Linked DNA regions of Ovis aries. The protein of the gene in region 1 interacts with the protein of each later gene in a biochemical or structural test. Links are inferred from orthologs where the notes say so. Each region holds a gene or a part of one and is shown on either strand. Other genes may lie near its edges.

What was found.
Region 2: the proteins of SGTA (region 1) and UBL4A form a complex in vitro, tested with the Homo sapiens proteins (3 studies listed by BioGRID, with this or other methods). The link is inferred for Ovis aries from reciprocal best matches to the Homo sapiens genes SGTA and UBL4A.

The regions. Positions count from the first base shown.
Region 1 is NC_056058.1:18,697,404-18,704,756, reverse strand, and holds the start of SGTA (small glutamine-rich tetratricopeptide repeat-containing protein alpha), read right to left. Parts: upstream 4,884-7,353; 5' UTR 4,835-4,883; intron 1-4,834. Other genes in the region: THOP1 (thimet oligopeptidase), read left to right, coding at 6,866-6,881. UniProt on the Homo sapiens protein: Co-chaperone that binds misfolded and hydrophobic patches-containing client proteins in the cytosol. Mediates their targeting to the endoplasmic reticulum but also regulates their sorting to the proteasome when targeting fails.
Region 2 is NC_056080.1:79,952,431-79,959,856, forward strand, and holds UBL4A (ubiquitin-like protein 4A), read left to right. Parts: upstream 1-2,670; 5' UTR 2,671-2,713; coding exon 2,714-2,761; intron 2,762-2,914; coding exon 2,915-3,020; intron 3,021-3,321; coding exon 3,322-3,536; intron 3,537-3,644; coding exon 3,645-3,751; coding exon of another isoform or gene 3,752-3,755; exon of another isoform or gene 3,756-4,185; coding exon 4,186-4,309; 3' UTR 4,310-4,312; exon of another isoform or gene 4,313-5,201; coding exon of another isoform or gene 5,202-5,313; 3' UTR 5,314-5,367; downstream 5,368-7,426. Other genes in the region: SLC10A3 (P3 protein), read left to right, coding at 342-1,799. UniProt on the Homo sapiens protein: As part of a cytosolic protein quality control complex, the BAG6/BAT3 complex, maintains misfolded and hydrophobic patches-containing proteins in a soluble state and participates in their proper delivery to the endoplasmic reticulum or alternatively can promote their sorting to the proteasome where they undergo degradation.

The sequences.
Region 1 (7,353 bases):
AGGTTCAGCTCAGGAAGATGAGAATGTTCTGGAGATAAGGGTGGGAATGGTTGCATGACAATGTGAATGTGCTTAACGCCACTGAGGTGTGCGCTTTGAAACAGTCAGGATGGTGAATTTTACATTATGTGTATCCTACTGTTGGCAACCCACTGCAGTACTCTTGCCTGGAGAATCCCATGGACGGAGGAGTTTGGTGGGCTACAGTCCACGGGTCGCAAAGGGTTAGACACGACTGAGTGACTTCACTTTCACTGTAATTAGAAAAAAACTTCTTTTCAAAGCTCAAAGTGGTCCTCTTAGGATGCAGACACCTCTGAGACCCCAGGACCATAGTCCTTTCACATATTCTGCTCTAAACCAAGGGTCAAGGGCCACACCTGGCAGCCACCCATTTAGCTGAAAAAGTCTTCTGCATTCATATGCTACAGAAGTGCCTCCGTAACATGCTTGGTTTTCCTCACTGCCCCTGAACCCCAGAGAATTTACCACCTGGCCTTCATGCTTACCAGCTCACCCCCCACCCCCCTGCTGACTTCTCATTGAACTGGATGGAAGGGTGTCAGGGTCTCCCAGAGGGCAGTCACATGTCAATAGCTGACATGGTAAGGCCACAGGACTGGGTAGCTGGGGCTCCCCCATGTGTTCCAGGTAGCAATTTGGGGCATGCCCCCCCCCCCCGCCCCGTCAGACCCATGGGAGGCAGCACTAGGTCACTGAGGTTCATGCTGGGCTGGGAGGGTATTGGACGGTGGTGGTGGGGGGGGGGGGTCTGCTTTCCCGCCCAGGGAATAAATGTGGCCTCTGTGACAACAGGCATTCACTTAAGAAAACAAAGAGGCAACCTGATGTCTATGTGACCAAGCTGCAAGGATGGAGGGAGTGACTCTGAGGGGCTGCTGGGGGTCCAGGGAGTTGAGAGATGAAGTCACATGTGTTCCCTGCACACTCTCAGTTCTTCCAGCCCCGCCCCCCGCCATACCCCAGGACCTTCGCGTGTGCTGCTAATAGCCCTCTCCCCTGACAGATGCCTCCCTTGAGGCCACTGCTGCCTGGTTTCCCACTTCTAGGGCTTCTTCTGGTCTATGACAGGACCTTCTCCCAAGGTTTGGCCCCCAATCTGATGCACTGAGCGCCAAGACCAGGGCCCTGGAGCCCACCCAGGGATGATGCTAGGCTCTGCAGTCTTAATCCCTCAGGCCCAGCAGTCTCTGTCTGAGGCCAGCTCCACGTCACCCCCTGCCCCAGGGCTGGGATGCTTGGTGTCCCATCTGAAGGGGGGCCAGTGGATGTCCTCACTCTCTCCTATAAAACAGGGTAACGGAGGCTGCTGGGAGATTCCAGCACCTCATGCAGGTGTCTCCCCCAGGCTCTACAGACATGGGGGGCTGGGGAGAATGTGCATTAAAGGGTGTTTAATAGCACCCTCTGCATCCATCTTCTGGGAGAGGGGGTGGGGTGGGGTGGGATGGGACAAGACTGGGTTCCATCACCATGTGACCTCTGAGGTCCTGGGACGCTGATCATATTTAAATACATACCTGAGTGGAAGGGTGGGGAGGTGACCCACTGTGGGGAGGTAACACGGGGCCCTCCTGTTCACACTGTGTGACCATCGGGAATTTATTGTGGTGTCCAGTGTGAGCAGGCATCAAACCCAATATTTTTCTCAAATGTGAATGCAGGAGCCCTCCCCCTTGGCATAGCTGACACGGGGTCAGGTCACTGTGCAGGGGGCATCCTGGGAGCTGTGAGGGATGGGGCAGCATCGCTCTCCCTCACACCCTCGATCCCGGGAAAATCCCCCCACCCTGCCCAGGGTGTTGTCAATCACAAAAGTCTCTAGACGTCACCAAACCCCCAGTTGAAAGTCACTGATACACACCAAGTGGAAAAAATAAAGGGCAGATTTTCTGGCCAAATGACTTGGCTGTGAACTTTCAGTGAATCCTGCATTCGCTGAGTATTCTGGGTTACATGGGGCTTCCCAGGTGGCTCAAATGGTAAAGAACACACCTGCCAATGCAGGAGACAGAAGAGATGCAGGTTCGATCCCTGGGTCAGGAAGATCCCCTGGAGGAGGGCACAGCAACCCATGCCAGTATTCTTGCCTAGAGAATCCCATGGACAGAGAAGCCTGGAGAGCTACAGTCCATAGGGCTGCAAACAATCAGACACGACTGAAGCAACTCAGCACGCATGCACGCTGGGTTTCAGGACTACAGACAGGAGACTGCGAGTGTGCAGTGGGACTGGCACCTGCTGGACACTGGCGGTCCATGAGAGTGGCCATTCTCCTCCCTCCGGATGGTCCGCATCACCTTCCTGCTCCCAGCAAAGTGAGTCCAGAAACGCTGGCACATGCTCTTCCTCAGCTGCTACTGGGCACCAGGGGCTTGGGAACAATTCTGACTTGTCAGGCTTTGGCTGGGGAACAGAATCCTCAGCAGGACCGTTCTCTCTCCCAAGAACAGCAAGGGCTTTGTGAAGCCCAGAAGGCTCCAAGGGCACTGGCTGCAGGCATGGGGTACAGGCAGGAGACTGGCTGGGAATGGACAATGGCCCTGGGGTGTGGCTGAGGCCAGGGACCCAGCTCCAATTCCTCCCGGTGCCTTCAGAAGCCCTGCTGGCTCTCCATCCACCTTTCCATTTTCTCACTGAAAACACCCCAACCTCAAGAATTCCCTGGATGTCCAGCGGTTAAGAATCTACCTGCCAACGCAGGGGACAAGGGTTCGATCCCTGGTCCGGGAAGATCCCACATGTGGCTGGGCAGCTAAGCCCAAGCACCATAACAACTGCACCCATGAACTGCAACTACTGAAGCCCAGGTGCCCTACAGCCCTTGCTCTGCAACAAGGGAAGCCACCACAATGAGAAGCCCACACACCACAACTAGAGAGAACCCCCGCTATCTGCAACTAGAGAAAGCGCATGCATAGCAACAAAGACTCAGTGCAGCCAAAAATAAACTAACAACAACAACAAAAACTTATAAAAAAGACTATAGCTCTCAATACAGGGCAGCACTTAACCCAATTTAGGGCCACTCACCCTTCCAGGAAGACTTAATTATAAAGCCCTGAATGAAATCCTTGGAGTGCCCAGCACTTACAGGCCTGAGCTGTATACTGTACCCACACTCACTTATTTTAGGGGTCAGCAAACATCTTCTGAAAAGAAGGGCCAGGGTGAGGACGTTCAGCTTCCCAGGGTCCAGGTAACATGTGTGTGGATCCAGTGGGTTCTATCCCACAAAACCTCATCCACAAAAACAAGGCTGCAGGGACTTCCCTGTGGTCCAGTGGCTAAGCCTCCATGTTCCCAATGCAGGGGGTCCTGGTTCCATCCTGGTCAAGGAACTAGATCCCTCCCCCACAAAAGAGGCTGCAGTGGAATTTGGCCCCCTGGTCACCATTTGTTTAATCGAACTCCCACTGTACAGCGTAAAAAACTGAGGCCCAGAGGGACGGGAGCAACCTCCAAGGTCATCCAGGGAAGATGCATATCAGCAGTTTTGAACCTGTGCAACCTGATTTCTAGAGCTCCAAACTCCAAAATACCCTTCCTCACCCACAAAAGTGGACACCCACACCAAACCTTGCATGTGATTTCTTGGGGGTTCACACCCTTCACCCCTTCTGGAGACCAGAAGCTGATGTTACTTGGCCCTAGGTTGAGGGCCACTAGTGAAAAACCACTAGTCTGAGGTAGGACGTACTTTAGCACTGTGGACATTGAGGGCCAGACTGTTCTCCGTGGGGCCATCCTGGGCACTGTGGGATGTGCAGCAGCATCCCTGGTCACCAGCCCCTTGATACCAGGAGCGCCCCTGGCTGTGACAGCCATAGACGTCCCCAGACATGGCCCGTGTTCCCTGAGAGGACAGAATGCCTGGCCTAGGGAGAGGAAAAGCAGACAAAACAAATAACCAGAGAGAGAAACAAAAGAAAACGGGAAACTTTCCTGGGTGGAGATGCAGAGTGCTCAAGCAGTTCCTGGCATCTGATAACAAAACCATCTGTCCTCTAGGAAGCTCTAGACAAGTAGCAAGAACCTAATGAAAGAAGGTTCCAAGTGTACTTAACCTCATAATGACCTTAAGAGACATATACTTCTACAGCCCCTATTCGTGGCAGAAAAGGGTCGTGGAGGGGGCAAACGACTTGCCCAAGCTCACAGAGCCAGCGAGAGGTGGACGAGCCGGTCCTCAGCGCTAGATTTCGCCCCAGTCTCTGGCACAACAGGCAGAGGTCGTCCTCGTGAAAGCGGACTAACCGCTGCTGATCTCTTGGAGCTGTCACTTCGCGCTGGGGGCCCTGCGGCTTTAGTCCTCTCCGGAAGTCCCCCTACTCCATGCAGGGTCTGTGACAACGCCCGTTATATGGAGGGGGAAAAAGGCTCCGAGAAGCCAAGAGGCTGGTCAAGGTCACCCAGGTGGACAGTGAAGGCGCCGGGACAGGGAGCCCCGACTTGAACCCCAAGGACCGGAGCCCCGATTCTAAAAGACCGTGTTTCCGGGACACAGCGGACACCCAGCGAGTGCTCACTGCGTGCGGGGCGCTATGCCTCCCGCTATTCACCCCCGGGCCTCCTAATCCGCATTTCATAGGCCTGGAGTCCGGAGGAAGAAAACCTGGGCAGCCAAGGGCTTGCCCGACGGGGTCTGGCCTCAGTTTCCCCTCCGCGCCGCCCACTCACAGCACTCCGCAAATTATGGCGACCCCGGCCCCGGACCGACGTCTTCCTACGGCACAGGAGCCCCAGAGGCCCCAGACGCCCCGAATTGCGGACCTTAGGCCCATTCGGACCAGCGCCGAACCCCCCGACTCACCTCACACAGCCGAACCCGGGACCCACCGACGGCTGCGCCTGCGCACCACAGCGCCGCCCGGTCCCGCCCCCCAACTGAGACGCCTGCGCAGAAGGAGCCAGCGCCTCCTGGCTTTCATTCTGCGCAGGCGCGGCAATTATCAGGTCTGGCGTAAGGGGAAGTGACGTACCTTAGAGGCTGGGACAAGTTGGTCGTTAGGGCAACTAACCACTACGAGCGATTGGAGGCCGGAAATCAGGACTGACTTGTCCTCTACAGAGGGAATGGAGTGGTGCATCATGGGACGGTGGAGGATTCTTGTGGGTTGGCTGAGTCGTCACGTGGTGCCGAGTCGGCCACGTGGTGCAGCTGCGTTTGGGTATCTGGCGCCCCGGAGCATCATAGACGCTCTTTGAATTCGAGCAACTGTTATTTGTTTATTTTTTTTACCCATCCATCCTCCAACAAGTGAATTATGTTATTCATTCAGTCCATCAGAGTAAAGTATAATAATTCACAGATTTTTGTTTACCGCAGGTGCCTAGTAGTCAACGAATATGCACGCCAACTATAAAGGGAAATGTTTGCTCTCATTACCTTGTATTGCGATACACTATAAACTAGTAAACTAGTATATAAATGAACAGATTTTACTCAATGGCAAGCACTATGAAGAAAACGTGGTGTGTTGTGTTTGGGGGGTAAATTGGCTGGGATGATTAGGGAGGGTCTCTCTCCCACAGGTAAATTTGAAGAACTGGAGAAAAGCACTCCAGCTATAGGAAACAGCGAAAATGAAAACTAACGTAGAATTAATCTTGACGTTCTCAAGAGAGAAAAAAATCGAGGGTGGGTAATGGGAAATTCCCTACTAAATGACCGTCATTAGGGTTAAAGTTGCCAGAAATGTTCTCCCAATTCACTTTTATCCTACTTAAAACGCATGCACACTTAACACCCCAGGGTATTTTCATTTCTTTTGCAGAAATGGATAAATAAAGGAGGTGGGTTTGGGGGCATGTTTAATTCTCGTTTCTTTCCGGGTGACTCAGGTGGTTCAAGGTTGATATTTTGGGGTTTTTTTGCGCACTGGTCTTCGTTTCCTATGCGTATGTGCATGCTCAGTCGTGACCGACTCTTTGGGGCCCTACGGAGAAGGAATCAAACCTGTGCCCCCTTCAGTGAAAGTTCAGTTCAGTCGCTCAGTCCTGTTCGACTCTGCGACCCCATGAACCGCAGCACGCCTGGCCTCCCTGTCCATCACCAACGTGAAAGAGTGGAGTCCTAACCTCTGGACCGCCTCAAGATTTTGTTTTAACCGGTGATCCCTAGGACAGGCAACTGCACTGTTTCAAAACACCTGTTGTTTGAAGTCTTGGATCCGTTTTCTGAAGCTTTCTCAATAACACTTACTTGCTAACACACATTTTTGTTTTTTAAGTAAATATGTGTTTAATTTTATTGACCAACTGGTTTCAGCTAATGTATGTGGCGCACCTTCTTTATTCATTAGATACTTGAAGCTGGGCAGGATACTGGGAATGGGATAAGCGCCTGAGATACGGTAAGCGATCACGGATTACCTAACTTAGCGGAGAAAAGTTGTAAAGCTAGACAAATACACAACTAATGTAGAAAGGAGGCTAATATAAATTAATACAGGAGCTGGAAGCCCAAGCCAACTACTGCCAGAAAGAGCGCAGAGAAAAAGCTGCGAGGCGCCAGCTGTGCGAGTTTCCACGGAAACGCCTCTTCCTCGCCTCCCCGAAAGCTCCACCCTCTCACCACCGAGAGCAAATGACAGACGGGGGTGGTTCCGGCGCAGGCGCAGAGTGAGTCAGCCGTCTGGCGCACAGCCACAGGTTTTGGGCGGAGCTAGGGTGCGCAAGCGCCCTGCCCTCCAGCGCACGCGTCTCCCAGCATTCAGCGAGCGCGCGGGCGGCGGGCGCCTCGGTCTGGACATTTGCGATCTCTGAGTGGACGGAGGCTGCTGGCCGCTGCGCGGACACGGACGAGGTGGAGGCAGGGGCCGCCAGTGCGCACCCGCCAGCTATGAAGCCTCCTGCAGGTACAGGCTGTGTCTTGGTTGTGGCCCCGCTCGTCGGACCCGGGAGCCCCGTGCCCCTCCCCCGGGGTCGCCCCTGGGCCTTAGAACGGAGCCAGTGACCCTCGAGTGACCTGGGCCCAGGCTGGGGATGGGGGTCGGCGAGCTTGGAACCCCGCCCCCTCGGTTGCCGAATGAATGATCCAGGTTTTTCAGCGCTTCGCTCATTCGGCAAACTCCATTACTTCTCTTGAGGATGGGTCTGCCCTGAGGTGGACTCCAAAAGAGTTCTAGACTTAGTTCCATAGCCGGCCGTTCGAAAGGCAAAAAACAAGCGGGGGCTTTAGACAGTGATCGGTGCCATGGCTGGTGGTGCTTCTTTAGGGAGGGCTGTCCTGGAGGGCTTCTCGGAGGAGGTGGCATTTCATTCAGCTTGGACTTGGTGGGGAGAAGCAGCTGTCCCAGGTGGTGGGAACCGCGAGGGAGGCAAGCACAC
Region 2 (7,426 bases), on another chromosome or scaffold:
CCTGAATCAGCAGGCCGAAGGCAAAGTTCTACCTGTCCCTTCCCCTTCTGGGGAAGCTTGAGGTAGTTGTGACTGGGGAAGGGACACCCGAATGGCACTCAAGGGCCATCCCCAGGCTTGCAGCAAGGAACCCGGCTGAGTCTCCCAGCAGTGGGCTTCTCGGTCATGCTCCTGGGCTCACAGCTGCTCGCCCTCACCAGCCACCGCCATGTCCCTTCTCTTCTCAGGAAGAGCTCTACCATCAAGAAAGGGAGCCCAGCACCAGACCTCGCCCATGGACCCTTCTGAGGACCACCCAACGGCACCAGCAAGGCTGGTCTCCTAAGCCACAGAGGGCCTGCATGCCCCACCGTTGGGAAGGAGCCATGGTGTTTAGGAGTGGTGAAGGCTGCTCCCTGCAGTGGCCTGGCCCAGAAGGGGGCACTGGTTGCACGGGCCCCCAAAGCATGCTCAGGGCCACCCTGCTGCTTGTCAGCCTGCTGTGGGGGGCCCGGGGAACAGCCAGTGCCAGTCTCAGCCCGGCTCTGGGCCATCCCATGCCCCTGACCAGGGGCCGCTACCTGAGCATTGGAGATGGCTCTGTGATGGAGTTTGAGTTCCCAGAAGAGAGCGAGGGCATCATTGTGATCACAAGCCATTACCCAGGCCAGGGCAACGGGACAGGACCCAGCCCCATGCTGAGGGTCACCTCCCTGGACCCAGAGGTGCTGACCATTAAGAATGTGAGTGCTATAGCCTGGGGCGGCGGTGGCAGCTTCGTGGTAAGCATCCGCTCGGGCCTGCCTGGGATAGCCCCACTCCACATCCAGCTCACGGACCCCCGCGAGGCCCCGCCCAGGCTGATCGAAGAGCGGAGAGATTTCTGCATCAAGGTCTCACCCGCTGAAGACACCCCCATCACCCTCGGCACTAACCTGGTCCACTTCTCAGAGAACCCAATCCTCTACTTGCTCCTGCCTCTTATCTTTGTCAATAAGTGTTCATTTGGGTGCAAAGTGGAGCTCGAGGTACTGAAGGGGCTCTTGCAGAACCCCCAGCCCATGCTGCTGGGCCTTCTGGGCCAGTTCCTAGTCATGCCCTTCTATGCTTTTCTGATGGCTAAGGTCTTCATGCTGCCCAAGGCCCTGGCTCTGGGCCTCATCATCACTTGCTCGTCGCCCGGCGGCGGGGGGAGCTACCTCTTCAGCCTCCTCCTCGGAGGGGACGTCACTCTGGCCATCTCTATGACTTTCATCTCAACGGTGGCTGCCACCGGCTTCCTGCCGCTGTCCTCAGCCATCTACAGTCGCCTGCTCAGCATCCATGAAACACTCCATGTGCCTGTTTCCAAGATCCTGGGGACCCTGCTGTTCATTGCCATCCCCATTGCAGCAGGCGTGGTAATCAAGTCCAAGCTCCCCAAGTTCTCGCAGCTGCTGCTGCATGTCATCAAGCCCTTCAGCTTTGTGCTGCTCCTGGGTGGCCTCTTCCTGGCCTACCGCATGGGGGTCTTCATCCTGGCAGGCGTCAGGCTGCCCATCGTGTTGGTGGGCTTCACAGTGCCCCTGGTCGGCCTCCTGGTGGGCTACGGCCTGGCCACATGCCTGAATCTGCCAGTGGCCCAGCGGCGGACTGTCAGCATCGAGGTTGGGGTGCAGAACAGCCTTCTGGCCTTGGCCATGCTGCAGCTGTCCCTCCGCCGCCTCCAGGCTGACTATGCCTCCCAGGCCCCTTTCCTTGTGGCACTTAGTGGCACCTCGGAGATGCTGGCCTTAGTAATTGGCCACTTTATCTATAGCAGCGTGTGCACCGTTCCCTGAGGCCCCCGGGTCAAGCTTTCACCAGGCACCCCCAGCCCCCAACCTCCATCAACTGTCCCCACCATTCTTGTGTACCAAAGGCCTTTAGTTCTCATGCACTATGCACTCAGAAAAAAAAAAAAATCCAGGCTTATTTTTTTTACTCGTTTTTTATTCTCCAGCTTTCAGTGCCAAAGAGGCCATGCTGAGTTCTGTAAGCGGGCACTGCCCAGAAAATATATTTCAATAAAACAGAAGCAAGCTTGGGTATCATGCTGTCTTTGCCCTCTGAGGCCTGCGGGTCGGGGAAGGAAGGGCGTGGTGTGGCCAGGTAGGTGTGGGCCAGGATGGAGGGCTGGCTTGGCGACACAGTGACCTCTGGCCAGATTTAGCCTTCCTCGCCCCTGCATCACCTCTGAGAGCTGTGTATCTGTTCTAGAAGAAGCAGTGGGAAGGGCAGAGGCCTGACTCCCCCACCAGATCCCAAGCTCAGTTGCTTTTCCACAGGTGAAGTAAAAAAGAGGCCGGCGGGTGGTGAAACGAGCTCGGCGGGGCCGGGTCTTCTGCAGGCTCCTGAGAGGCAGGGGATGGGATGGGCATCAGCGTTGACCTGCTCTGCCCACGGGCGGTGGCGCGCGAACTCCCGGCCCGCCGTCTCCCCGGGCCCAGCTCCCCAACTCCTTCGAGCGAGCCCGACTGGTCCCGCCACCCTTTTCCACTCTCCGCGGGCTTCTGGGCTCCGTCGCCCCGGGCTCCGCGGAGGACAGTCCAGGTTGTGGGGGGAGGGGCCGGCGGGGCGGGGCCGCGATGCCCGGCTCGCCCCTCGCGATGCTTCCGGCGGCGGCGGGCGGTTCCGGCGCGCGCCCGGGGCGGCGGCGCGCGGCGGCGGACCGTTGGGGTGCGCGCCGGCCCGAGTGGACGCCTCGGCGGCCGCCATGCAGCTGACGGTGAAGGCACTCCAGGGCCGCGAGTGCAGCCTTCAGGTAGCATCGCCGGGCTGGGTTGCGCGGTCAGCCCCGCGGGTGCGGGATCGAGCCGCGGGAAGGGACGGACCCGGCGGGCTAGCCGCCTCGGGAGAGCCACCCTCCGCGCGGGCCGCGGCTTCACCCCCCGCCCACCTTTCTCGGCCGGGACAGGTGTCGGAGGACGAGCTGGTGTCCACGCTGAAACATCTGGTCTCCGAAAAGCTGAACATCCCCGTCCGCCAACAGCGGCTGCTGTTCAAGGGCAAGGCCCTGGCAGGTAACCAGGAAGAGGGGACGCTGGGGGAGACCCGCGGGAAGCCAGGGGACGGGGCGTCCAGCCCAGGCCCGGGCAGCAGTGTAGGTGGAGGGGGCTCTGGCTAGGTGACCCCCACCCCCATCCCGGGAGTTCACCGCTGCGCTTCGCCTAGGCTCTCCGAGGGTCAGTGCGACCCTCTCTCCCTCTCTCCCTCTCTCCCTCTCTCCCTCTCTCCCTCTCTCCCTCTCTCCCTCTCTCCCTCTCTCCCTCTCTCCCTCTCTCCCTCTCTCCCTCTCTCCCTCTCCCTCTCTCTTTCGGACAGATGGGAAAAGACTCTCCGATTACAGCATCGGGCCGAATTCCAAGCTCAACCTAGTGGTCAAACCTCTGGAGAAGGTGTTGCTGGAAGAAAGCACTGCGCGGAAAACGGCCGAGGCCCCAGCCCCACCGCCCGCCGCCTGGCCGCTCATTTCCAGAATCCTGGCCCAGCACTTCAGCGCCGCCGATGCCAGCAGAGTCCTGGATCAACTCCAGAGGGTGAGAAGCGTGGCCCAGGACCTCTGCATCCTGCCCACCTGCCTCTGTCCCAGCGGGCCCCCCCGCCCCAAGCCACACCCCTGAATCCTTCTGGCTTTCTCTCTTCAGGATTATGAGCGGTCCCTGAGCCGCCTGACGCTGGATGACATTGAACGTTTGGCTGGCCGCTTCCTGCACCCCGAAGCGACTGAAGCTATGGAGAAGGGGTTCTCCAAGTAGGATTCTCGGAGTGTGGGGAGGAGCCTGGCCAGGCCACAAGCTGCATGTAGCATTAAATGTCTTCTTGTATTGCAACTTGGCTCATAATACTGCCTGGCGGGTACTCGGGTACCTGTATCTGGCTCATGTTAGGTGCCAGGCCCCACTCAAAGCTCTTGACCCAGGTTGGCTCCCACATGTTGCACAAAAGGTGAGACAGCCGAGGCTCCTAGCGGAGAAGGCAAGGAGCCAGATTCTGAGTCCAGCCAGCTTCCAGAAGTACTTCAGGGTGAGAAGGAGAAAAGGGTCGTTCAGACGGGTTCTGAGGGGTGGCCATGGACATTCCAGGTTTAGCCCACTGAGGAGAAACCCTCGAGCAATACCTTTTCCAGGCCTGGAAGGGGAAGCAGCTAGCCCCTGATGCCCAGTTCTGTCACCTCATCCTTGACAGGTCCGGCATTGGCAAGAGGTCAGGTGATGGCCAGCCTTGGGCCCCCTTAGTGACTGCAACCAGTATGCACTCAAACGGAAGGCGGGCTGGGGAGTCTAGGATGTCACCCGACTCTGGGGAGTGACACGTAGGTGCCACGTTGGTCCCCAGCCTTCAACTCTGCTCAGTGAGGGCTGTTCTTGAGACTCTCTTAGTTTTCTTTAGCTCCAAAGCCTGGGGTCAGGAGTCTGTAGGCATCCTACTCCTGTGTCCCAGATACAAACTGAGGCCAAATTCTGAGTGATGGCCAAGCGTGGCCCAGAGACGGAATGTCCTGGCCCTTAGTGTCACAGATTTTCTCTGGGCACCCCCTTCTTTTCTCCTCCCAGACACAAGCGGTCCATGACCTTTAGAGATGACAGGTGATGGTCTCGAGGTGACTCGAGCAGGCCCCTGTACCCTTTGCCCATCCTCTGCCACATGTGGACAGGGCCTCCCACTGTGCACACCACTCACTGTCTGAGAGGGAACCTGGGTGGGGGCAGAAGCTGGGGGGTGGGTCGTAGAGATCGTCTAGGCACCTGCTCCTCAGAGGAGGGCACCTGGGCCACTCTCCGGCCTGAGCCTCATAGGGTAAGTGCTGGGTCCCCAGGTGGGGAGGACAGACAGTGGCTCGAGGGCCAAAGGCTTTGAAGAGCAGGTGGAAGTCCATGGCTCCACCCAGGAGCTGGGCATGCACTGCCACAAGGTTCATGTGATAGACTTCCCTACGCTCTCATTTCTTTGTAGTCAGGAAATTTTATATTGACCTTCTCAGTCACACTAGAGGTGCATGTGAGACTTTGACCTGAAAGGAACTCTATTAGTTGAACTGCTTTTGGTTTCCCCATCGTTGATTTAACCATTACAGGACATAGGTTTAAGCAATAAAGAGAAGGTATTGGTTTGCGAAACTGAGAAGTCCAGGGGTATTGGCAGCAGATAAATGATTTCCCCAAATACCCAGTTTCTTCCTACCTCCCCTCTGCACTCTGCAGTGTCTGCTTCATCCCAGGCCTCTACCTCAGGATCAGAAGATGGCTGCCTGCAGCTTCCACCGAACCCCTCGGTCACAGCCAGCACGGAGCACCTTCCCGTCCTCTAGCGTAGCTTCCTCCTCAGCTGCCCCAACAAATAAACGCTGTCCCTTTTGGATGCTTAGAACCGGGTGCCTCCATCATTTTATCAGGGGCTTGGGTGGGCTGTGGAAGGGAGAGGGCAACTCTCAGGAAGGCCGGGTCCTCGGGGAGAGCTGACGCGTGCAGACGGGTCTTGTTGACAGACACAAGAGACAGCTGGTGAGTCTTGTGTGCCTCCCGACTGGGAGGTGATGACCCTGTGGTAGCTAGGAGCCATCTGCTGGGTGCAGAAAGTCATCGGGGAGCTCAGGCTGCCCATGGAGACAGGAGTGGTGTCTCCCAGGTGTATAGTAGGTGCCTTGCTGACAGGCCCGACAGGCTGATTCCGCGGCCCTGTGCAGTTTTCCACGACATTCCGGAGGGCCTGTGGACACAATGTCCCAGACACTGCGAGGATGCATGAAATTACTTCCCAGAGAGCATGACCGAAGAAAGGGGAGAGCACTGGACCTGGGGGAGACTTCACCAACTGGAGACACTGCAGAGGCCAAGGCACCTCTGCAGACGCAAGGCCACAGGGAGAGCTTGGAGTCAGAGGCCAGGAAGGCCCCTCCAGCCAGGGTACAGAGTGTATAGTGCTGCCAAGAAGCAAAAGAGGGCAGCCTCCTGTCAAGCTAACAAGAAGGTCATTGGTGATATTAGGGCAAGAAGTTGCTGCATGGTGGAGAGGGGGAAAGTCTTGCCAGTGACTGGAGACCCCTGGTTCCAGAAGCTTGTCTGGGCAGGAGTGTGTAGCTATGGGGGGTGGGGGTGGGGAGACAGGGAAGAGGTGCTGGGATGAGAGATGGGAGGCCTAGGTGGGAAGGGGCCACGGAGGCTCTGGTCTAGGCCTTGTGCCATCGCTAGAGGATAGAATGGCCACGGGCTGTGCCCTGCCTTTGTCCTTAGTTTCTGGGTGAGGGGGTGGCCCCATGTACACTGCGGGCTCCAAATGCTGCAGTATCCTTCCATAGGGGCTGGAATGTTTAAGGCCATCACTGTGCCCCTTGAGCCAAGTGTCTGCCCCAGAGGTGGGCACTGACCCCCCCATTACCACTCCCATCCCCTGGCCTGAGACCACTCTCTCCTCGTGGAGGAGCCTTGAAACAGCCCCACTAGGAGATGGCAGGGCGAGTGAAACGCCCAGCTGAAGTGGCCCCAGACAGCAACAGTCCGGCACCTGGAATAAGATGCCTGTGGTGCCACTTGCCATGGGCACACTGGCGGAGGGGTAGGCTCAGAGGAAAGCAGCGTTTCCTTTGGGGTGGGGCTTGCTGAGCTGGAAAACGCCCAGGCAAAGATCAGCTGCATGCACAATTTGCTGGTGCCTTGCTTTCCACGCAAGCCTGGACAAAAGCCAGCCTTACCAGGTCCAATAGATCTGACAAGTGCTGCTGAGGACGGGTCAGGCCCTGCCAGCGGGAGATGCAAGGGCCATGGCGGCCTCTGTGCCCTGGGCCTTGGAAAGCCTGCGGGAGAGATGCTCACCCCTGTCACCCTGTCCCCCTCCAAGGCCCAGCCAGAGCAGCCTCCCGGAGCTACTGGGGACCTGCCCCAGGCCACCTCTTCTGCCTGCCCTCTCCACCTCTTCTGCCTGCCCTCTCCAACTTTTCCTTCCACTTCCCCTAGCTCTGGGCTTCCCTGATAGCTCAATTGGTAAAGGATCCGCCTGCAATGCAGGAGACCCCGGTTCAGTTCTTAGATCAGGAAGATCCCCTGGAGAATGGATGGGCTACACACTCCAGTATTCTTGGGCTTCCCTGGTGGCTCAGCTGGGAAAGAATCAGCCTGCAATGAGGGTGACCTGGGTTTGATCCCTGGGTTTGGAAGATCCCCTGGAGAAGGGACCAGCTACCCACTCCAGTATTCTGGTCCATGGGGTCGCAAAGAGTCAGACACGACTGAGCAACTTTCACTTTTACTTTTCACCTGTGCTGGCTCTCCCCCAACACACCCATCTCCTACTTATGGGGGACACTGAGGCTCCATCCCCAGATCTCTTCTCCGGATCTCTCACTCCCTGGGGAACCTGTCTGCCTTCATTGCCATTTCTGTGCTTTGTGTCCATGTCTGCAACTTACCCCAGCCCCATCTCTGAGCTTCGG